Mus musculus: one gene and its partners. The protein of the gene in region 3 interacts with the protein of the main gene of each other region in a pairwise test. Links are inferred from orthologs where the notes say so. Each region holds a gene or a part of one and is shown on either strand. Other genes may lie near its edges.

Region 1 (4,907 bases), on a different chromosome or scaffold from region 3:
GTAAGGAAGGAAGGAAGGAAGGAAGGAAGGAAGGAAGGAAGGAAAAGTGCTTTAAACAGCACTTTAGTCAACACTGACAATTATTAAGAACAATGTTTTCTTGCTCACATGCAAGCTGTGGCTTTTAAGATGGAACTAAAAACATTTAATAAGATAATACATGTAATAATGCCTGGAATATCTGAAATGTACCAACAAACACTGGTTACTACTGATGTTTCAGTTTAAATTGTACTTGGAATAATAATAGGCACTAATATACTGCTAGTAAGTATGGAAACTAGTCATCTACTCTAGATATTTTATATAAACTACTTTTTTTCTGACAGTCTCACTTTGGGAACTTCTAAGCATGTGCATTAACGTGCATACATAAGGATACTCATACTTTCATCTACAGAAAATTCGAGGAAAGCACTTAACACCAATGAGCAAGACAAGAGACAACTACTGTACTACACAGCCAATGGGACCCAAATCCCAAGAGCTCACTGATATTACATTTTGTATTTAGGAATAAGTATGGACTCCAAAGATGGAAATAATGATTTGTAGTAGCTTACTGCTTTTTTCTTTATACATTTATGTGTGAAAATTTCTTGCCCTTTGCATCTTATCATCTTATTATTTAATTTCAGCTACCACGGGATTGTAGTGAAACACATAATTACAAATTCTTATCAGGAATATTAAGAACCATTAGGATAAAAATGTCCTTCCCAGATTTCTTGGGAGCTGGTGAGATGGCTCAGACTGAAAAACTGGGTTGACCCCTGAGGCCATCATGGTCAAGAGGAGGTAACTGACTCCGTGGTTTCTTCTCCTGGCCGCCCCTCCACCCCCACCCCCACCCACACGTGCTGGAATGGAGACAGCAAGGTCTGGTGACAGCTGGGGTGACAAAATGAACAAGCCTATGCTGTCAAATACACTAAACAAGAGCAAAGAGGGGGAGGGAGGGAAGCAAAGAGTCCCTGGCAGTCAAAAGTGCCTTCAAATCAAGTAAGGAAAAAAAAAAAAATACCAAGCACAAATACTGTATTGCTAAAGAAAACCAGTTCTATAAGAAAAGGTACTCAAAAAACTTAGGAAACTGCAAAAACTGCCTTGCAGAATCTCTAGAAATCAAGGACTCTCCTGTACTTAGTGACAAATATGAAATATTCAGAGGAAACATGAAGCTACCCGCGATATACGCAAAGTCCATTTTGCCAATGTTGTATGTTTTGCAAGAGAAATGACCATAATCACTGTAATGTGGAGCCCCAATTGCAATAAAAGCATTGAGTCGTGAACATACACACAAAAAAACTCTGCTTGCACAAACTCAGTGTTCATCCCAATGTGACCTCTATAAGGAGAGAAATTAGTTGCATCTTAGCCAAATGTGACATTAACTTTAACTTCACAGAAGTTCCCCACTTTATCAATCCAATATAAATGCCATTTATGACAGGTTGTGATGCCTAACTACAGTACTAAGTTTCCTGTTGAGAAAAGGAGAATTCTACATACCACTATAATCTATGGAAAAAGCTCACTGCAACTTTGCTCTCCCTTGGAGAATATTCATGAGCTGTTTCTACCTAAGAACTGATGGAGCTCAATTACTAACATTTGGAATGTTTGCTTGAGAGAACAGCTGTCTTGGGATGTTTTATTATTACAATGCTTAGTGTTATAAGCTTTAAAAAAAAAAACCTACACAATCAAAACATAACAAACCTGCTTTCCGTATTCAATATTTCAACCTAAGGAGAGCGACAGAACGCATCCTATCCTGACCTATTCTCACACTGGTAGTTAGAAATCAATCCCAAAGGACTTTCCGTTAACAAAAACTCAAGAGACCACACATCTGACTTGACAGCGAGTCGGTGTCACAAGACATAAGAAAATGATAAAATCCTACAACTGTTTTGGACATTTGGACTTCCGTGGATATATTTTTTAATTAACCCAACAGATCCCTGTACTGCCGAAGCATAAACATACAACTAATTAAAATGGGAGGGTAGGAATATAAACAAAAGTACATTTTAAGTATGAACTGTGAAAGAAAAGACTGGAAAATGATAATACAACTGCTTACTTGCTAAATGCCCTGTCTTTGCGAAAAGTCTAAGAAAAGGAACTAAAATGCCAGACCAGGAATCGGTGTAAGCCTTTCTCAATCTGCACGTGGGTGTTGTTTGTTCAAACACGCTTAAGATCACTTTTTTGAAAAGTGCGTCCAAAGTGGGGAGGAGATAGAAATAACTTCCAGAGCGGAGGGGGAAATACGTGTTTTCACAGGCCTACCCCAGTGATGCTACTTAAAAGCAAAGCCGGCTTTTAAGCAAAGCAGGAAATAAAGGAGATGGCGGGAGGGCAGGCAGAGGGCGGAAGTTGGCAACGGCCTCTCCTGAAGTGCCTCAATGGAAGAAGGCCCTTCGTCTCCCGCCAAACAGTGCGCCCCGAGGTCGGCTCGCCTCTATCCTCCCCCAAAACAGACAGCGCCCGCCGCCGCCCACGGGGGCAGTGCCCTTGGCCATCCGGTTCCGGCTGCGGGCCTCACGCGAGCACCGAGGCCTCGCGGCCCGCTCCGCACGCCCGCCGTTCCGCGGCCTCGTGGCCGCCACAGGCCGCTCGCCCCGGCCGCACACACTCGGCACGCGCCCCAGCCGGCCGACGGCAGACAAAGGCTCGGCAGCCGGGCCTGCTCCCCGCCACCATCCAACAAAGCCCGAGCCGCGACTGCGCGCCCCGGCCTGGCTTACCCATCGGTCCCCGCACGCTTCTTGCCGGAGGGGTAATCCTCCCCCAGGTCCAACCGATGCCTCTTGGACATCCTCGCACTCCCAGAAGCGGACGCTTAGGAAGGAGGGAAGAAGAGAGACTCCGGCAGCCGGATCCACGCACAAGAGGCCCGCGGCTCAACTCGCGGGGACCCCCACCCCTCCCGCCACCACAGCCCGCTCCGTGCGGCCCGAACCAGGAGCTAAAATGGCGGCCGCGACGAGGGCAGGGCCTGCGTGCGCGCCTCCGCGGCGGGCGTGCCGGCGTGGTGCGCGCGCACGCCGTCCGGAGGCGGGAACTCCCGTCCCGCCCGCTGTGCGATTGGCTGAAATGGCTCTGAGTTCCCGCGGGCTCCTCCCTTTCCCCTCGCGTCTCTCTGAGAGCTGATCTGAGCTGCTGCTAAGGACCGAAACGCGCCTCAAGCTGTCACTTGCCGCCTGGAGTTCGTTGGGAAAGTTGAAAAAGCCTAGTCCTGTTTAGGAAATCTATCCAGCTGTGTATATACTTTTTGCTTTTAGGGTATGAAGCTCAGGAAGGATAAGAAAAACAAGATCACACAGCTGGCAAGTGGCAAAGCAGGACACAATTTATAACTCCAGAACGAGAATTTGCAGTTGTTGCGCCAGATGCCCTGTAGCGGTGAGAAAAAATGTTAACTTTAATTACTGTGACTCGTTTTGTCCATTCACCCCAGAACAGATAACATCTATTTGTTCAAGGTATAGGTGTTTTGTATAGGGTTCAGAAAATTGGAGGTAATCGCACTGGGCACTGTATTTTGCCTCCAATCCTCTGCCCTAATCTTGCTCCGTTTGTGTGTATATGAGTGCATATTAGGCACTCAGAGACATTAGCCCTATCTCTGTCCTCGTTTGGTTTGGTTTGGTTTGGTTTTTTGAGACAGGGTTTCTCTGTGTGGCTCTGGCTGTCCACAAACAAGCTCTGTAGAAGAGGCTAGCCTGGAATTCAGAGGTTAGGCTGTCTCTGCCTCCCAGTGCTGGGACTAAAGGCGTGCCCCAGCATGCCTAGTTGCTGTGCTCCTTAGTAGAGTGAACCCTGAAAGACATTTTATAGACATGGTTACCTGGACTGAAGGAAATCAACAAATAGCTCATCCATTAAGACTCCACTGTAATGGCAAGTTGTTGAGGCAAGGTGACACTTAAGAGGTTGTGTATCTTTCTCCCTTCAGCCATTGTGCATACTCAATTACATTCATTTCCAGAAGTGTGGGCGAAAGAGGTCTAAGGATCAGCCCAAATACAGGGTATCACTTCATGTCAAGACTCTCCTTTGCTGCTCCTTGGCTCTAGTCCCTCGAAAATTCTCAGAAGGATAATCTCTAAGATTAAATACAACAGAAACACAACAGATGATATTGTAACTTTCACAATATCCAACACAACTGTCTAAATGTACATTGACAACCTGTTAGGCTAGATATGGTAGTGAGTACCTTTAATCCCAGCACTCCTGAGGGCAGAGCCAAGCAGATTTCTATGAGTTCAGAGTCAGTTTGTTTTACGTAGTGAGTTCCAGGACAGCCAGAACTATATAGTGACTCTCTCTGTCTTTCTCCCTCCCTCACTCCTTCCCTCTCCCCCCTCCTCCCCCCCCCCCCACATGCACTCGAGCGCACACACACACACACACACACACACACACGAGCCACTGAAAAGTCCTGTGAGCATCTTTCAGGTACCTACATTACTGAAGAATTCCACCCCTGTCAGTTGTATTCCTTGTTATAGTTCCTAGACAGGAGGGTCCTCTTGAAGTTCTTGTGCAGAGTCTTGAGCCTTGTAAACCCCCATGATCATCCTCTTCCCTCCAAAATGTGTATTAATGGGTCATTCCTGTGATGAGCTCATGCAAGTTACCTCTCCGATATAGGCTAATGAGGATGTGATGGTTTTTATATGCTTGGCTTGGGGAGTGGTTTAGAAGGTGTGGCCCTGTTGGAGTCGGTGTGTCACTGTGGGTGTGGGTGTTAAGACCCTCATCCCAGCTGCCTGAAAGCCAGTAGTCTGCTAGCAGCCTTCAAATGAGGATATAGAACTCTTAGCTCCTCTTGCCCCATGCCTGCCTGGATGCTGCCATGTTCCCGCCTTGATGATAATTGACTGAAC
Region 2 (3,767 bases), on a different chromosome or scaffold from region 3:
CGCCCCCCATTTCATTCCTCCCTGAGGTTTAGCAGCTTAATAAATAAGTGTGGTCATGCCTGAAACTCTTAAACCACGATGTATTATTTAAATTAATTAAAAGTTCTATGTCTGAATTCGCTTTTAAACCAGTAAAATGACATTCAGGCAGATTCAGGAAACCCTAGATCTTTCCAATATTTCCTGGTTACCGTGTATACCCCTTTACCAAGTTCATTTCAGCAGGGTAACATAATGGACTGACACACAAACAAAGCTGGGCAGATAATTCTCAGTACCTACCCTCTGGACTGTCTGAGAGATGTCAACTCACAAACTCCAGTCCAGGTTCTAGCTCAGGAGACATAAGCATCTTGCTAATTGCCACCCACAGGAAAGAAGGACAATGGATAAAACTTCTCTGCCATGTTAGGAAACTTCACTGTGCCCAGTAATATGCCTCTACTGTCAGTCTAAATGTTAATAATGTCCCTTTATTTCTCCAAAGTGACCTAATTTAAGATGATAGCCCCCCTACCCAGCCACCCTTTATATGTCACCTTGGAAGCCCCAGACAATGCTCCTTCACCACAGCTTTTAAAACCCTATGACAGGGCCCCCTGGAGCCCAAAAATGAAAGTGAGAATACTGGGATTGAACCAAGTTCCCCAACCACAATGAAATAATGGAGGTGAGTCACAATAGCCAATGGTAGCACTTAACCATGAAAAGACAACAGTTTGCTGCTAGTTTTGCAGTGCTTGATATTTATTGCAAAGAATTACATTGCTTTTTTCAAGTACTAGAGAGGATCTGGGCTGAATGCCTGTCCGTTTGCTTTTATTTTAGTAGTCCTTGTCCACATGGACACATCTGTGAGGCTGCTGCAGTTCTGAAAGGAAACGTGCTGTGCAAAACTGATGCATAGGAGAAAAGACATGTCAACATTTTAACTGTCCGGCAGGCACATCAGGTTCCTGTTCTGGTCAGGCAGATGTGGAACCTGGTAGTACGTACAGAACTAACCAGTCGGTAAAGACTGGCTGGCCCCTTCAAGGTTTGGTGAGTAGTCCAAAACAGAGTCTGAATGGGTGGAGTAGCAACTCCATCATCTTCTTGGTCCTTATCTTGAAAAGTGCTTCAGATGAAATTCGGTGAGTGGAGGTGAAATGTCAGGAATCTGCTTCTGGGCAGATGGCGGACTGGCCTGAGTTCCAGTGGATGTCAGCAGCAGGAATGCAGGTGGTCTGACCAGTTCTAATAGGGACCTGGAAAATCGCTGGAACTCCGAACAGAGTTCAGATTAGGATAAGTGCCTGAGGCCAAAGTGAGTTTCAGAGCAAGGTCCAGGCCCAACTCACAGCAGGTAACTGGAACAAAGACAAGTCCTGAAGGGAATGATGGAGCAAACAGACTGGCGGGGAAGAGGATGGCCATGCAAAGGGAGAGATTGAGGCAGCAGGAATGGCGGGTGGGGGGTTGGAATGAAAAGGCGTGAAGGCCCCCACCTCTAGGCCTAAGGGGGCTCCGGCCTAGTGATCTTCCTCCATTTCTTCCTCTTCATCATCATCACCATCATCTTCGTCGTCGGTACCCCAGCCAAAATACTGCTTCATCTCATCAACAAAGGCCTGATAATCACCGAGGACGTAGCTATTTGACTCGATGTAAGGCATCACCCACTCCTCAGCTTCCCCGGAGAGGAGGCTGATCAAGAATGCCACTTTCATGGCATCATTGCAGAAGTGCTCCTCATTCGCAAGCATGTAAGACATGGTCTGCATGATAAACTCAGGGAGCCGACCACTCTCGCCGCTAAACCGTGAGGGGTAGGGCACCGGACAGCTCGGTGGACATACCTGGCGCAGCAGCCTGGCCCGCTCACACACCAACAGTCGCAGCTGCTTCAGGAGCTGGTGGTTCTCCATGCACAGGGCTTGGTGCCTATCCAGAAGCGCGTGCAGAAGCGACAGCAGCTCTTCCACCATGGTTAACTGCTTGGACGGTCTCGGTCTCGGTCTCGGTCTCAGTCTCGGATCGGCTCCACGGAGCTGCACAGAGAGGCTGAGCAGGAAGTGCGGGTCCTCAGAGGAGTGCGGACCCTGGGCAATAAATGGAGGGGTCCCAGCCAGCGGCAGAAACTCCACCCACAGGGTCACTTTACAAACCTGTGCGCTAGCGCAGTGCGGTAAGGAAGGTGTGGCTGGGAAGGGTGCGGGATGGCGTGGGGGCGTGGTCAGGGTGGGACTGGTGGCCAGAGTGGATGTGGCTGAGGAGGAGCAGGGCGTGACCCAGGAGCTTCGCTGCGGGGTCCCGCCAGTTCTTCCACCTGGAAGTAGGAAGGCTGAGGGAGCAAAGCTTGCCACAGTGGAGAACAGATGCTCAGCCCTCAGGGCTGGCCTGCTCCAGCTGAAACTTTTCTGCAGGCAGCCTGTTCATCTAATTCAGTGTTCCTTTGTGGGTCTGTGGCCATCAGCTTCTTTAAAGTGATCCTTTCTTAACACATTTTTTTTTCTTTTTTTACTTTTTATTGGATATTTCTTTATTTACATTTCAAATGGTATCCCCGTTCCCGCCTCCCTCCCCTCAAAACTCCCTATCCCATCCTCCTCTCCCCCTGCTTCTATGAGGGTGTTCCTCCACCCACCCACCCACTCCCATCTCCCCTCCCTCGAATTTCCCTACACTGCGGTCTCCAGCCTTCACAGGACCAAGGGTCTCTCCTCCTTTTGATGCCTGACAAGGCCATCCTCTGCTACATATGCGTCTGGAGCCATGGGTCCCTCCATGTATACTCTTTGGTCGGTGGTTTAGTCCCTGGAAGCTCTGGGGGTGAGGAGTGTCTGGTTGGTTAACACATTTCCTTGCTCATTTAAATCTCACTCGGAGAAATAACGCTGACTCTGTGGGCCACCGTGCAGGAGGTCATTTGGGTTCCAAGTCTAAAAGACTCACAGGTAGACTCACTTTCATTAAATAAATAAATAGTATGCAACAAAAGACTTCTCTTTGACAAGCAATTTTGTTAACAAGATTTGCAAACACCAACCAAAGAGAAAGCACAGGCTGGACCTAGGCCTTCCTGCACACATGTAGCAGATGTGCAGCTTGGTCTTCTTGGAGGTTCCCCAACAACTGGAGCAAGGGCTGTCCCTGTGTCTGCTGCCTGCCTGCTTGAGGACCCAGTTACTCTAAATGGTTTGGCTTGTCTGTCCTCATTTGGAGAGGGTTTGACTTGTTGGGTGTGTGTGTGTGGAGGAGGATGTTATTTTGTGAGGATTTTTATTCTCAAAAGAGAAGAGAAGGTGGAATGGAGGAAAGACCTAGGAGAGGGGACACTGGGAGGAGAGGAGCGGGTTGATATTGAGATGTAAAGTGAAAAAAATAAATAAATTTAATAAAAAAGAAAAAAGAATGTCCTCCCCCCAAAAAAAGATTTATAAAATGTATACAGGGTGTCCACTTGTAAACATCCTATCTTTGATTCTTATCATGTCCTGTTTATGAGTACCTTTGTTCCTGTGTAGTTAAACTACCATGTGCACTGTTAAATAAGCCTGTCTGCCTAGTTTGAATGTGATTAGTTGTTGATAACTAAGTTTCGTTCTGGGTCATCAAGCTGATACACAATGGGTCTGCTTTTAAAAATATATCTCCAAATTCAATCAATTCTGGTCCTATCTGCTACCCTGCTACATCGAATCCCTTAGCTGCCAGCCTTGCCCTTTAGCAGCATGCACTCTGTACAGTAAGTTGCCCAGAACACTTTAAAAGGTGAGTTAGACCCT
Region 3 (4,931 bases):
CTTGGGAGGCAGAGGCAGGCAGATTTCTGAGTTCAAGGCCAGCCTGGTCTACAGAGTGAGTTCCAGGACAGCCAGGGCTACACAGAGAAACCCTGTCTCGAAAAACCAGAAAAACTTAAAAAAAAAAATTAGAAAATCTTTGGGGTAAATGTGGAACTCTCACAGAAAAGACTATGAGGGGCCATCTAGAGAAAAACAGGATCAAACAGGTAATGTGTCTTACCTTGTCCCACAAAGACTGCAGCTCTTCCTGCCCACCTAAGTCCCAAAACATGAGACGAGCCTTTCCCACGTCCACAGTGCCAACTGGAAAGAGTACAGAAAGAGCTAGCTCCTGACCTTTACACACAAGGTTCCAGCTCTCCCCAGGATGGGACAAACCATTCTGGTACCAATCCTAGGGAACTTGAACACAGAATAGAAAGACAGGGTTTTGACCACTGGTCAGCTGGGTTGTGGACCTTACAGCATCCATCTCTAAGGGACCTCCTAAGATCATATCCCTAAGGTGCCCCCTTACTGTTTAGACCCACGGTAGTGGTGATTTTGGATAGACTCATCCCCTTGTAGTTCTTGTTAAAGCGTGTTTTTGACTGTTCCAGGAAAGTCTGAGGAAAAAAAGAGAGGGGGTTAGATAGCAGCAGCTAGAGTAGTTTTCTGGTGTCCTTCCCACCTATCCCTTCACACCCATGCAGCCATGCACGCCTCTGCCTGTGGCTTGATCTTCAGGAGGCTGGTGACTACTAACCTGTAGCCTTGGGGCGGGGGTTAGATCAGGCAGGGAATGGGAACTGGTGAGAGAGCAGGGACCTACCGTCTTCCCAGCATTGTCCAGGCCCAGGATCAGGATGCAGTATTCATCCTTCTGGAACATGTACTTGTACAATCCCGAAAGCAGCGTGTACATCCTGTTCTGGCACCCTGAGAGATGTCAATGTGTGTACCGGGGGCATCGGCCTCCTGCCCTGCCCGCTTCATCAGCGGTCCGCCTCTCCTGCTAGTTTTCAAATGTGTAGCCTCGCGGATCCTGACTCTTCGCCCCCATCCCGCCTCTTCTGTTAAAATCCCTGACCCTGATTCCCCCGATGCCATCGCTGACCACGTGCTAGACCTGGGCCACTCCCACTTAATGTCATCTTTCATAATGCACCATCAATTCGGAGTCCTGAAAAGCCCGTGGCGGCCTGCTCTGCTCCGCCTTCCTAAGGCTCCTCTTTCCGAACCCTCAACTCAGAACCAGGAAACGCGGCCGGCGACTTAAGTCTAGGAAGCGACCAGAGAGGCAGAGCTCCTGAGGAGGGTCGGCTTCGGCTTCCCGCCGCCGCCGGGCCCACGGAGCCTGGGAACCAGCAGCTGAAGCCACTTCCGTCCCCCTGTTCCAGGACTTTAGAACCCCGGCCCCTCAGTCCAGCTGAGGCCCACCCGTACCTGCTCAGATCTTGGAGGAGGAGCCGCCGCCGCCGCCGCCGCCGCCGCCGCGTTCCTAACCCCACCGACCTCACGCTGACCCCTCACAGTGCCTGACGGAACAAGGAGCGAAGGACGGAGCACGGGCGGAATCGCATCCCAGCGGCCCCCGCGCGCAGGTACTTCCGGCAGCTTCGGCTCTCCGGCGGAAGTGCCCGGCGGAGGGCAGAAGGCTAGCGCGTGAGCTTGGCTGGCGAGGGCGGAAGCCCTTCTAGCCTGCGAGCGCCGGCCGGAGGTGGGGTTGCGGGCCGCAGAGGACGGGGCGGGTGACGTGCAGGTCCCCCTCGGCGGAACCGCGGCCCTCCTCAGGCTCCCTAGCGGTTTTGGGGGCGGCGTTGCCCTGAGTTGTTCTTACTGCTCTTCCTCCTGTTTTTGTCTGCGGTAAAGGTTCCGAATCCTGCCTGCTGGGTCGGGATGGACGAGGACAACCTAGAGACTGCCCTGCAGACCTACCGGGCCCAGCTGCAGCAGGTAGAGCTGGCGCTCGGTGCTGGCCTAGACGCTTCTGAGCAGGCGGACCTGCGTCAGCTGCAGGGCGATCTAAAGGAGCTGATTGAGCTCACCGAGGCCAGCCTGTTGTCGGTCAGAAAGAGCAAGCTGCTGTCTACAGTGGACCAGGAGAGCCCAGCTCAAGAGGATGCTGAGTACCTGGCTTTCCAGAAGGCCATTGCGGAGGAAGTGGAAGCGCCCGGCGCCCCCTGCAATGACTCGGAGACGGCCCCTGGGAGCGAGGTGCAGCCGGGATCCACCTCCTCTGCACTGGAGGAGGAGGAGGAGGACCCAGATCTGGAGGAACTGAGCGGTGCTAAAGTGAATGCCCCCTACTACAGCGCTTGGGGCACGCTGGAGTATCACAACGCTATGGTAGTGGGCGCCGAAGAGGCGGAGGATGGTTCTGCGTGCGTCCGAGTCCTCTACCTATACCCTACCCACAAGTCCCTGAAGCCCTGTCCGTTCTTCCTGGAGGGAAAGTGCCGGTTCAAGGAGAACTGCAGGTAAAACCCTCTGCTGCTAGCAATGAAGGGCACGCAGTCGGGACCACCGCTGTGGCCTGTCGCCACAACTAGTTTGGCACCCAGCAGAGTTGGTAATAGAGTCCAAACCTTAGGTGACTGACAGGCTTTTACAGAAGTGTTCTCCGTGTGTTTACTTAGATTTTTCTTGCATACATCAAGAAGTTTGAAAGAGCTTATGTTGAAAAGATAGGGCAATCCTTCATCAATATTCTTCTCCAAGGTGTAAAACTTTTTTTTTCCCCTTTGAGATAGCAGTGTAGTAACTCTCGATGTCCTTGAATTCTTGATCCGTCAGCAACTCTACTACATCCTGAACGCCTTCAGTTTCCAAATGCTAGGATTACAGGTGGAGGCCACCACTTCTACTGGGCTACATCTCCAGCTCGGAACCTTTTTTCTTTTTTTCTCTTTTTAAAAATTTATTGACTATGCTGAGGATGGAATTAGGGCCTCCAGCACACCAGGCAACCAACTACTGTACACCTTAGCCCCATCCCAGCTCCTGTAGTTTGCATAGTCTTACAGAAAATTTCAAACACATAATCTCTTGCTGACTTGCCCTACCTTCCCCCCCACCCCCCGTGCTACTTGAAAGCACCTTTCACAAGTTACATCTTTTTCTCTCACCCTCAAATACTTCAGAATGTAGCTGAAATAATAATTACTAAAACTGATTTATGTCTTTTTTTTTTTTTAACTCAGTCATCCAGAATAACCCTCTAGTACTTTGAATTTATTTATTTTAGGCCACTAAAATAAAAAGATTTGTTCTATTATAATGGTAGTAGTGAACTAAAATTAGTTTCACTTGGCAGGATTTTAGGCAGGGCTAGAGCCTTGGAAGTCTGAGGGCAGAATCCAGAACCCATTTCTTTGTCCATTTTTCTTTAAGGTTGTTATTATTATTTTATTTTGATTTTTAAAAAAATATATTTTAAAGATTTATTTATTTTGCTGGGCATTGGTGGCGCACACCTTTGATCCCAGCACTTGGGAGGCAGAGGCAAGCAGATTTCTGAGTTCGAGGACAGCCTGGTCTACAGAGTGAGTTCCAGGACAGCCAGGGCTACACAGAAAAACCCTGTCTGGAAAAACCAAAAAAAAAAAAAAAATTATTTATGTATGTGAGCACACTGTTGCTCTCTTCAGACACATGAGAGGAGGGCATCAGCTCTCATTGCAGATGGTTGTGAGCCACCATGTGGTTGCTGGGAATTGAACTCAATACCTCTGGAAGAGCAGTCAGTGCTCTTAACCACTGAGCCATCCCTCCAGCCCCTTATTTTGACTTATTTATTTTTTACTTTTTTAATGTTTTTCTCTAAAGATCCATCGGTTGCTTTTGTCTCATTTTGTTTTGGTAAGGTGGTTTGATACATGGTCTCTATGTAATCCTGGCTGTCCTGGACTACATACAGCTATGAAAGGCCTTGGCTGGCCTTGAACTCACTACCGAAAGGCTGGGATTAAAAGTTTGCACCATGGCCTGACTATTTTAGGCTTTTTTGAGACAGAGTTTCTCTAGTAGTCCTGGTGGATTTCCTGGAACTTACTATATAGATCTGGCTAGCCTGGAACTCAGAGGCATGCACTACCATTTCTGGCTAAGATATATTTTTAGTTAGTGTGTTTGTGTGTGTGTGTGTGTGTACGTGTGTACGTGTGTACGTGTGTACAGGTGCCAGAAGAGGGTATAGGATCTCCTAGAGCTGGCGTTCCAGGTGGTGGTGGTGACCTGCCGAACATAGATCCTGGAAAACAAACTCAGGACTTCTACAAGAGCAGTATCCTCTCAGCCACTGAGCCATTTCTCTAGCTCTATGTATTTACATTTATCTTTAGATTGCGGTGGGGGTGGGGCATGTGTACAGGTAGGTGCCCAAGAAAGCTAGAAGAAGGTGTTGGATCTCCTAAAGCTGGAATTGCTCACAGAAAACATTAACCACTGAGCTCTCTCTCCAGTCCCCAGAGACCACCCATATTCCCTGTTTTGTGGCATCCTCGAATCACTTTAGGCTCTTCTTTCCATGTTACATCTGTACTCTGCAAGTCTTATTTCTCTACTTTTTCTTTAGGATAAGGTCTCATGCAGCTCAGGCTGGCCATGTATAGCCCTTCCTATATAGCCAAGGATGACTTTGAACTCTTAATCTTCTTGACTTCACTTCCTGCTTATACCTCTCAAGGGCCAGGATTACAAGCAAGTGCACATCTTTTGTTGTATTTCATGGTGGACTTGACATGTCCTTGTTCTGGCTCTTTCCTATGCTAGCAGATAGGTGCATAAGTGATTTGTATGCTCAACGGGTTTATTTTACTTATGGACAGGGTCTCTCTATTATGTAGCCCTGGCTATCCTGGAACTAACTAAAGATCAGTTTGCCTCTGTCTCTGGAGTGCTGGGATTAAGGGAGTGCCACACCTCAATTGGCAATTTCTTTCTTTCTT
Region 4 (4,762 bases), on a different chromosome or scaffold from region 3:
GATGATAGCTTTAAATAACAGAAATTAGAGCTGCTGAGGTCGACTGCAGCCATCGCGCCAGCCCTCCTCCCCGCAGCAGTTCCCAACCTCCTTTCACCCATTTTACACTGTAGCCTGAGTACACCATCCACATCCATGTGCCTCAGGCTGGCCAGGCCAGGGAGACCCAAAGAGCAGGGACAGTTCCTGAGTTCTTGACCTCCTCCAGAGTGTCTGTCCCTAGATGATAGCATTAGACAGAGGAGCTGGGCCCAGGCTAGGAGCACAGGGAGTTTCAGCCTCACCTAGACTGTCCATCTCGTCCATACACTTAGCCTCCAGAACGGATTGGGGCTGAGCACAGGAGTAGGTCAGAAAGGTGTGTTCATTGATTGAGAAATGAATGGACAAAGGTCAGAGTGGGCCATGTTAGAGGCCTGGATGAGAGCATTGCTTCTGGGTCCCTGTCACATGCTGCCTGCTTACTTTGCATACAATCCTGTCCTTACAGGCCCCTCCCACACCTCACCTTTTGCCTCCAGAATTGAATACCTCCCTCTGCTCGGTGCCAGGATAGCTTCAGCTCCTCCCACTTCTTTCCCTATTGAACCTCTCCATGACCTAACTCAGTTTCCCTCCCTGCCTCTACTCAGTGCCAGGCAAGAAAAGTGTGTGGGCGGGGAGGAGCTAGAGAGAGAGGGAGAGGGGGGTGGAGGGAGAGAGAAGGCAGAGGGAGAGGGGGGAGGGAGAGAGAGCAAGCTCTGAGCTCCATCTCAACTCGTCCCTCTGCTGCCCGCTGACTGAGCCACCTTCTTCTCTTTGCTAGCTTATACTAGACCTCACCCATGGAACCTTCTCCAAATTGCTACCCGTAAACCTCACTCACCTAGTCTGAAAGACAAATACAGGATGGAGGAGCCCGTAAATGAGTGAGGAAGGAAGCAAAGAGCCCTTTCAAAATGACACATCTTCTGAGAAAGCCTGTCCTGGGCTTACACCCTGACCCCTTTCAGAGCCTTCATGACAGTGTCAAGGACTGTGTGTAATACCAATATTTTATCCAAATGTATTGGCTCTAGTGACATTCCATACTTAGTGGCTGTCCTGGCATTGGGTACCACACGCTACTATGTATGTCCTGAGGTTTCCAGTAACTGTTGACATTTCGTGGAACCTAGAATCCTGAGGTGTGTTTTCTCCATCTGTGCAATGAACTACTGCTTGCTCTGTGAGTTCTCAATTGGATGTGATGCCTAAATGAGAGAGAACGTAGTAGGGAACCCTCCCACAGAAGGGCTGGTGCCCCTCACCTGAGCCGGATGCTGCCAGGGTCCTGCTTCCCAGCTGAGCCCCTCCTGGTCACTGTCAGTGCTGAATGGGCTCATATAAGATTCTTCTATCTTGTCACTCAGGGCCTCCCTCGAAGTCTGCTGAGAACGTAGGAGATTGAGGTTGGGGACTGTAGGGCTGCAGACAGCCAGTTTCATCAAAGGCTGTGTCCTGAACTGGGACCCAGGAGCACCTACCTGTAGCTCTGGTTGGCTGGGTTCCAGTTGACAGTCTGAGACAGAGGACCTAGGGTCCCTGTGCACATGGAAGGCCACACTGTAAGCCAGGCCCCCACAGTGGCGGGCTGTGGGGTCCTCGCTGGCTCGGAGAAGAGCCAGGTTGCCACAATAGCGGTACAGGTCTTCATGATCCTGTGCTGTGAGGTTCATTCGGGGCTCATCTGGTCGTGGGTAAATGGGGAAGATGGCCTCACCTACCCTCTGAGCCTCCTGTCCTGAGGATCCATCCAGCCTCAGAGCCTCCACACGCAGATGTGCATCACTCTGCCCATCATTCTTACAGAACCCTGGGTGGAGAACATGGCTTTAAATGTGGTCTTTAGGATCTCCCTCCCTTCTCCAAGGGGTGAGAAGGACATCCAGGGCCCTGGGGCAACTTGAACTGAATCCAAGTGAGCTCGGCTAAGAATTCCCTTGTGGCTGACTCCTCTCAGCCCTCACTCAAGACTCCTTTGGTTTACCTATGCCTCATGTGACCCCACCAGAGTGAGGAGGCCTATAGCCCATGGAATTGTTCTGGGTTCTGACACCAGGGAAGAGTTTGGCTAACCTTAGCCTGGGATATACACCAGGACTGTTGTCTGGTAAGTCCTCTGTCTAAGCCTGGATCTTCTAGATTACTTAGCTAGTTTTGACTTAAAATTCCTGCCTCTTTGTACCCAGTCTGGAAGCTCCCAGAAAGTAAGACCAGGATCTTCTATCCATTCATGTCTGTCCAGTCTCTATCCCTACAATCAGAAGGAACTCAGGGGGCTTCTAGCATCACTTCATCCATGTACCGTTCACTGCCTAGGTCTAAACATGCTGTGGGCTTTGTCTCTATCAAATTCACATCCCCCTTTAGTTCCTCTTCACCTTTGCCCTCTATGAGAACAGTTTCAGCATCCATGCCACGCTGAAGGAAGCAGGAACCTTACAGGACCAGCGTTTGCCCAAGGCCACATAGTCACACAGGCAGAGCTTAGAATTAAGGCTGGAGCTCTGCCTCTGGCTGTCCAGGTCCCTTGCAGTCCCCCAGGGTCCTGATCAGCTCTAGGGCAGAAGTCCCAAAGATCCTGCTTCCCCCCCAACCCTTGACTTCACTTTGTACCTTTGGGCAGAGTGAAGATAAATTTGTTCCTGGTGAAGGTGAGGCTCTGGCCAGGATCCTGCTGCTCAATGACCTCAGTGACAGCTGAGCAGGCTGGAAGGGGGTCCCCATCATTGACTTGCAACTGCACCCCAGCACTGGAGCCTGCCTGCAGTGGGTTTTCAGCTGACAGCCTCAGGGCGTACCGGCCCTCCTCATTAAATCCCACACTCAAGATCTCAAACTCCAGGTCCAGTGTCTTCTCTCCAGCCTTCAGTCGCTGGCTCAGCAGGGATGCAGGGAGGTAGGGATCAGGACCTCTAAAGGCCATGGCTTCAGCCAGGGTCAGAACTCCAGGCTGAGCCCTGCCCTCTCCTGCTCACAGTCCCATCCTGGGTCCAGTCGGAAAGAAGACAGATTAGGCACTTGGGGCCACACCTCACCCTTCTCTGTTTGTTTGAGAAGGATCCAGGCAACAAGCCAGGAAACTGAGCCTGAACTGGGGAACAAAGGCATCAATTAATTCTTCCCATTTAGCATTTGATCTCTCAGTAAATATTTATTGAGAACCTACTGTATATGAGGTGCTGTCTTGGGCATTTTGAATATAGCAGTGAAATAGACACATTCCTGCCCTCCTGAAGCCTGTCTTCTAGTGAAGGTAATGGGTAGAGAAGACAAAGATAAACAAGAAATATGGAAAATGAATGATCAGGGCTGGGACTCGGTCAGTAATGTACTTGATGCACAAGCATGAGAACCTGAGTTTGATTCCCAGGACCCATGGAAACTAGGAATGGTTGTGTATGCTATGCTTATCATTTTAGTCCTGGGAAGGCCCAGGCAGGAAGTCCATCTAGGAGAATCAGTAAGTTCCTGTCTTAAAAAAAGTAAGAGTCCTGAGGAATAACATCTGAGGTTGACCTCTGGTATCTACATGCACACACACACACATGTACCTGTACATACAAACACACACATGTGTATGTGTGCACACAAACACACATACATAAACATGCACACAGGTGTACCTGTACACACAAACACACACACACAAGCATGCACACATGTGTACCTGTACACACAAACATACACACAGATACAAACACATACACATGTGTACTTGTACACACATTTGTACTCATAACATATATAAATCCTTAAACCATACACACAGCATGTATGCATGCATGCACACACACACACAAACACATACACACACAACCAAATTCTCAAGTGTGCTAAGAGATGATCTACTTCATACATTCTATAGAAAATTGGGGGCACATGAGTATGTGGTATTCAGAACTCTCCATTTCTGGGGAACCTGTCTCTACCTGGGAGTCCTTAGTATGGATATGGGAGAGGTCTCCAGGGTAAGGGAATATATGGTCCATGTCTGCTTCTGCAACCAGCTTACCTTATACAAGACATACAGCTTTACAGAGAACTTGGCCTCTCAAAGCTAGGTTGTCAGTCTAGAGTCTGTGCTTCTTTGTCCTGGGTTTCAATGGAAATCAGAGGATCCTAGACACTATTCAAAAGAGACTAAGTCTGCTGCCACTACTATCACCACCACGCCGCCACCATCACTACCTACTGTGTCCAGCACAGTCTTGGGAAGTACAGGAAAGAAGAATAATGGTAGAAAGAGACACAAGACTCTGGGTTCCCTTTAAGAATGAACAAATTTTATTTTCCCACTGCTGTTTATATATTATCTAGCTACTAGAGATGGCATTACAAGCAGAACTTGAGCAAGTCTCTTTTATATATATATATATGTGTGTGTGTGTGTGTGTGTGTGTGTGTGTATACACACATGTATATATGTATATGTTTGTATATATAATCTATTTATTTCTATTTTATGTACATTGATTTATTTCTATTTTGTGTGCATTGTTTTTCTCCTGCATGAATATCTGTATGAGGGGTCAGATCCTCTGGAACCGGAATTGCAGACAATTGTGAGCTGCCGTGTGGGTGCTGAGAACTGAACCCTGGCCCTTTGGAAGAACAGCCAGTGCTCTTAACCACTGAATCATCTCTCCAGCCCCAAGCATGGTCTCTTTGACCTCCTTATCTGAGTTCTTTCTTTTGCCCTTCCTTGAATTTGTGGCCTAATTTTTCTCCTGCTGGGGGA
Region 5 (4,853 bases), on a different chromosome or scaffold from region 3:
GGAGTCACCTCACAAACCACACAAACACCGATCTCAGTCAGGCAGGGATAGTTTATTGAGCATTCACCCCAGGCCTGATCAATCATGATGTGACTAACACAGGAGCTAGTTGAGACCTGGAGCTAGGATTTTACAGAGCCTTTAAGCCTTGAAATCCACAAATATCTGTGCCAAGTTATTCCACCAATCGGGATTTAGGAATAGGGGATTTCCTTAGGAACATGTCTTTTTTGTATCCTTATCCTGCTCCCATTGGTTGGGGTAGTCAGTCAACTGTGGCTGGGCAACTTGACTTGCCTAATATCCATGTCTTAACTTACCAAGCAGGAAGTCAGTTACCCACGTACATGTCTGTTTCTGCCAAGCAGGATGTCGGTTCCCAGGGAGGAACTTAAACTTTATTCAACTCCCACTCAAAATGAAAGTTTTAATCCAAATGGCTTATTATATTGGTGCAGTTGTCTTTCTTACGTTGGGGTCTATCCCAGGGCAACTTACAAAGACAAGAAACCATAAAAGTTCATATATAGATTCAGGAAGAGCTGCTGGCAGTTCGGGTGCAAGCTTATACAAAGCAGTTCTAACCGACCTCTGCCGGTTTCCCAGAACACCAAAGCGTAGAACATAGCAGAATATGAGATCAACTAGAGCAGGACAAAGTTTCCCTATAACATTAATAACAGCACAAAATGGCTGGCTGGATAGGCAACAGTCACCCAGGCCTTAACAGGGGAGAGTGGACGGAGGGAGAGGGGCAGCAACCAAGATGTGACTAAATTAACTAATGGAAAAAATTATAAGGAAAGACTCTGTTTTACAACAAAGTGCCAGCTAATCAATGTAGGAGTAACGGAAATAGAAAAATATTTGACAGATATCACATATAGAATTCCTTCAGGACTGAAGCTGCCAGAGACAGAAAGAGGTCACCACACTTAAGCACGGCTATCTGACTCCACATCAGGCAGTGTAAGTGCTGATTCTCTGCCAGCTTCAAATGAGACCTTGTGGCTCCAGTAAAAAGAAAATCCAGGAGTCAGAATAGACATGGTGGTTCTTCAGAGTGAAATTACTGGAATTATGTGGGTGCTTAAGAAGAGACAAGAAGCCGGGCTTGGTGGCACATGCCTTTAATCCCAGCACTCGGGAGGCAGAGGCAGGTGGATTTCTGAGTTCGAGGCCAGCCTGGTCTACAGAGTGAGTTCCAGGACAGCCAGGGCTATACAGAGAAACCCTGTCTCGAAAAACAAAAACAAACAAAAAAAGAATGGTTCCCATAGGCTTATGTATTTGAATGCTTAGTCACCAGGGAGTGGAACTGTTTGTAAAGATTAGAAGGATTAGGAGGTGTGGCCTTATAGGAGGAAGTGTGTGTCACTAGGGTGGGCTTTGAGGTTTCAGAAGCCCACGCCAGGCTGTCTCAGTCTGTCCTGTCTCTAGATTAGGGTGTAGCTGTCAGCTACCAAGTACCATGCTTGCTGCCATGATGATAATGGACTAAGCCTCTGAAGCTGTACACCAGCCCCTAGTTAAATGCTTTCTTTTATAAGAGTTGCTTTGGTCATGGCGTCTCTTCATAGCAACAGAACAGTGACTAAGACAGTGGGCTTATACTGGACTATTCCTGAAGCCAATGAAATTCCTGCCTGGTTCTCATGGAGCAGTTTCATAAAAGATTCCAGGATACAGGTGGAAGGGCAGTGACCTCTGAGGTCCTCCCTGTGGGGACATCAATGATCTCCATCTCTTCATGACTAGCCCATCCCTTGGAGTCGCTGTTATCCTCCACCTGCTATTCCCAGGGAGGACCGACCTGTACCCAGGCAGGAGCCCTGGAGAATACAGCCTGTTCTTGTTTCCTGCAGCTCTCCCTGGGCCCCAGCTGCCAGAGCAGTGATTGAAACCTACACTGATGCCGATTCTAAATAAAGACTGCTGGAAACTGGATCCCACTTCAGTCCGAATGGTCTGAATGGCCTTTGATTCAGTTAACTTGTGATTCTTTTTCTGCACCCAACATAGCAAGAATAAAACATGAAATCAAAAGAAAAAAAAAAATCAGGAAGCTTTCACTGACGTATGCTAAAATTAGTAGCTGAAAATATGGTTAAAAGCAAGACTTTTACACAGTCAAGCACCTCCCCAAATGGTGTTTATTATTTACAATAAGAAAATAGAAACCTGGGGGCTGGTGAGATGGCTCAGTGGGTAAGAGCACCCGACTGCTCTTCTAAAGGTCCTGAGTTCAAATCCCAGCAACCACATAGTGGCTCACAACCATCTGTAGTAGGATCTGATGCCCTCTTCTAATGTGTCTGAAGACAGCTGCAGTGTACTTACATATAATAAATAAATAAATCTTAAAAAAAAAAGGAAAGAAAACAGAAACCTTGTTATTTATTTAGATTTTAAGACAGAGTCTCTACATAGCTCTGGCTGTCCTGGAACTATGCAGACCAGGCCGGCCTCGAAATAACAGAAATCCGCCTGCCTCTGCCCCCAAATCCTGGGATTTTAAAGCATGTGCCACCATGCCGAGTAGAAAATAATAACTTTATGTTAGCCCCTTGGCAGCCACCACTTAAACCACTCAAACCTTGGCGACGAAAGTATTCCCCAGTAATGGGGCGTTTGCCTTCTGGGAGGCACGAGCGCGCCATTTTCTTGTTTAAAATGTGTAACTTAATTGTGTAAAATATCGGGCCAAGCCAGGATGACAAGTAGTCTACAAGATAATGGACTAATGAAGTCAGTGAGGGACTGAAGCGCTGTGAAGCGCGTGTGGCTAATCACGAGGTAGGCGTTTGGGAGTCTGAGTCAAAGAAAGCTACAGGGGAGCAAGAACCTGATGCGATGACCGTCCACTCACCGCGTGTGCCAGGACGGTCCCAGCGGAATTAGCTTCGTCTCCCGCGTGCGACCTAGAGCTGCGCCAGCTGGGACCCGGGTCTCCAGGATTCCGAGCGCCAGCACTCTCCCGCCCGAACCTACAGCGCGGGCCACGTTACCATAGCGACTGGAGTCAGTAACCTTGGTCCCGGTGCACCCTGAGCGGCGCTCCGATCCCGCCGGGCAGAAACAGGAGTCTCAACACAAAAGAGTTCCGACCTGTGCGCTGGTACCGAAGGAAGAGACGCTTGGGGTTCCGTGGCCTAGCAGACTCCCTGAGTAGTGCGAGCCAGTGAGCAAGGACCTACACCTACGGGGCCCTGTGCCCTCCCCCAGCTGTCCTGAGGGTCCCCAAGGTGCCCATTCTGGAGTCCCAAAGGGCTAACTTCAGCTTAGCAGGAGGTGCCTGTAGGCGGAGGGACTGGGAGCTCAGGGATGGAACCTGCAAGTCGTGGGTGGGAAGTTATTCTGGGACTCAGGTTTTCCCTTTGTAGACTGCACATGAGACTGTAACAAGGGTGCACATGGCAAGAGTGGGTGGAGGTTGCACCTAGGGCATGTCGCCAGGCGGAGAGGGCTAAGTGAAGAAGTTGATCCTCTTTCAGAGCCCTGGGTAAGGCGCAGTCACAAGAAGTCCATCCACGATTTGGTCTGAAACCCCAAGCATCAAAAGGTGAATGATCCTCCAAGACCCCAGCTTTCATGGAGCGTGTCCTGGACTAAGAAGAGTTGGATGGAATGGGGCTGGTTGCTGGGAAGGGCCTGCATGAGCCCCAGGAATTCGTTGTAGGCTCGCCTTTGTCTTTCTTTAAATCCTTAGGTCATCTGAGGGCCAGGGAGATGGCTCTGTGGATGTGTCAGTCTGATGACCTGATTCACACTCTGGGACCCACAGAATGGAAGGAGAGAACCAATTCCCATGAGTCTTCCCTATCCCCCATATGTTATGGTCTGCACGTTCACACAGTCACAAATAATAAAAAGAATGGTATTCTTATCTCTTTATACTGAAGAAGTTAAACTGTGGCCTGGTCCTGGAACTGGCATACACACCTAAACCAGCATAATTCCTAGGGGATGGGGAGTGTCTGGGAATCCCCTCCTCCAGGAGGGCAGTATCAAGAAGTCTAGTCATTCCTACTTTCCTGTCCTATATCCTGCCGTCTTCCTCTACCCGTCAGTCTCTTTCCCTCAACTTGCTGTCCCCACTTCCTGACAGCAAATGCTTGGTGTTTGAACCTTCCCCCAACCAGCTTGTCTTTGTAGCCTTCTTCTCAGCCAGGGAGTCCCCTGAACTTCTAGGGGCCTTCTGTTCTATTAGAAAGTGAGGTAACCTCAACTGCCAGTTCTTTGCTGTCAAATGTAAAACCCTTGCCTTAATTGAGGGGTCCAAGGGTCAGCCCCATTCCACAAGTATGTTCACACCCCTTGTCTCTGCCTCACTCTGTCACAGGAGCTTCCTGTAGTTGGTCTTTGCTACTTTGTGGTTCTTTTTCCCACCCCTGTTTCACCCCACCATCACCAGATAGGAGAGAAAGAAGGATGGGGGGAGAGAGTGGGATAGAGATTCCTGAATCTAATTTCTTTCCTTGTTTCTACTTTGAGCATAACGACTAACAAAACTGCAACACACACACCACGACCAACATCCACTCCCACTTCTCGGGGCCCTAGCATCTATATATCCTCTGAAAAGTTCCCAGAATTCCAAACATAACACAATCAAAGAAACTTATCTGCAGCTGGCAAAACATGCCTCTGCTAGAGCACGAGGCAAATCATAGTCAGCTGCTGTGGACTGTCTGAAGCAGTCTCATATCCCCACACCTAGGATTAAAATGAAAGCACATTCTTATGATATTTTTGTGTTTTTCAAAGAAACCAGAATTCCAGAATTTTCAAACATGCCACTATAGCTTCCCAAGGTGACAGAGGGAATTGGGCCTCTATGTACATGAAAATGG

Evidence for each region. The genes of interacting proteins can lie anywhere in the genome.
Region 1: the proteins of Zgpat (region 3) and Dhx15 interact in binary tests that used the Homo sapiens proteins (3 or more experiments, as listed by UniProt). The two-hybrid records come from large-scale screens. The link is inferred for Mus musculus from reciprocal best matches to the Homo sapiens genes ZGPAT and DHX15.
Region 2: the proteins of Zgpat (region 3) and Ldoc1 interact in binary tests that used the Homo sapiens proteins (3 or more experiments, as listed by UniProt). The two-hybrid records come from large-scale screens. The link is inferred for Mus musculus from reciprocal best matches to the Homo sapiens genes ZGPAT and LDOC1.
Region 4: the proteins of Zgpat (region 3) and Ccdc33 interact in a two-hybrid assay, tested with the Homo sapiens proteins (2 studies listed by BioGRID). The two-hybrid records come from large-scale screens. The link is inferred for Mus musculus from reciprocal best matches to the Homo sapiens genes ZGPAT and CCDC33.
Region 5: the proteins of Zgpat (region 3) and Ccdc57 interact in binary tests that used the Homo sapiens proteins (3 or more experiments, as listed by UniProt). The two-hybrid records come from large-scale screens. The link is inferred for Mus musculus from reciprocal best matches to the Homo sapiens genes ZGPAT and CCDC57.

Annotation. Positions count from the first base shown.
Region 1 is NC_000071.6:52,187,521-52,192,427, forward strand, and holds the start of Dhx15 (pre-mRNA-splicing factor ATP-dependent RNA helicase DHX15), read right to left. Parts: upstream 3,027-4,907; 5' UTR 2,831-3,026; coding exon 2,760-2,830; intron 1-2,759.
Region 2 is NC_000086.7:61,707,910-61,711,676, reverse strand, and holds Ldoc1 (protein LDOC1), read right to left. Parts: upstream 2,067-3,767; 5' UTR 1,968-2,066; coding exon 1,512-1,967; 3' UTR 727-1,511; downstream 1-726. UniProt on the Homo sapiens protein: May have an important role in the development and/or progression of some cancers.
Region 3 is NC_000068.7:181,363,791-181,368,721, forward strand, and holds the start of Zgpat (zinc finger CCCH-type with G patch domain-containing protein), read left to right. Parts: upstream 1-1,632; 5' UTR 1,633-1,881; coding exon 1,882-2,462; intron 2,463-4,931. Other genes in the region: Arfrp1 (ADP-ribosylation factor-related protein 1), read right to left, coding at 224-306, 521-608, 815-907. UniProt on the Homo sapiens protein: Transcription repressor that specifically binds the 5'-GGAG[GA]A[GA]A-3' consensus sequence. Represses transcription by recruiting the chromatin multiprotein complex NuRD to target promoters.
Region 4 is NC_000075.6:58,115,798-58,120,559, forward strand, and holds the start of Ccdc33 (coiled-coil domain-containing protein 33), read right to left. Parts: upstream 3,027-4,762; 5' UTR 2,948-3,026; coding exon 2,638-2,947; intron 1,835-2,637; coding exon 1,506-1,834; intron 1,410-1,505; coding exon of another isoform or gene 1,407-1,409; coding exon 1,290-1,406; intron 1-1,289.
Region 5 is NC_000077.6:120,929,847-120,934,699, forward strand, and holds the start of Ccdc57 (coiled-coil domain-containing protein 57), read right to left. Parts: upstream 3,027-4,853; 5' UTR 2,870-3,026; intron 1-2,869. UniProt on the Homo sapiens protein: Pleiotropic regulator of centriole duplication, mitosis, and ciliogenesis. Critical interface between centrosome and microtubule-mediated cellular processes. Centriole duplication protein required for recruitment of CEP63, CEP152, and PLK4 to the centrosome.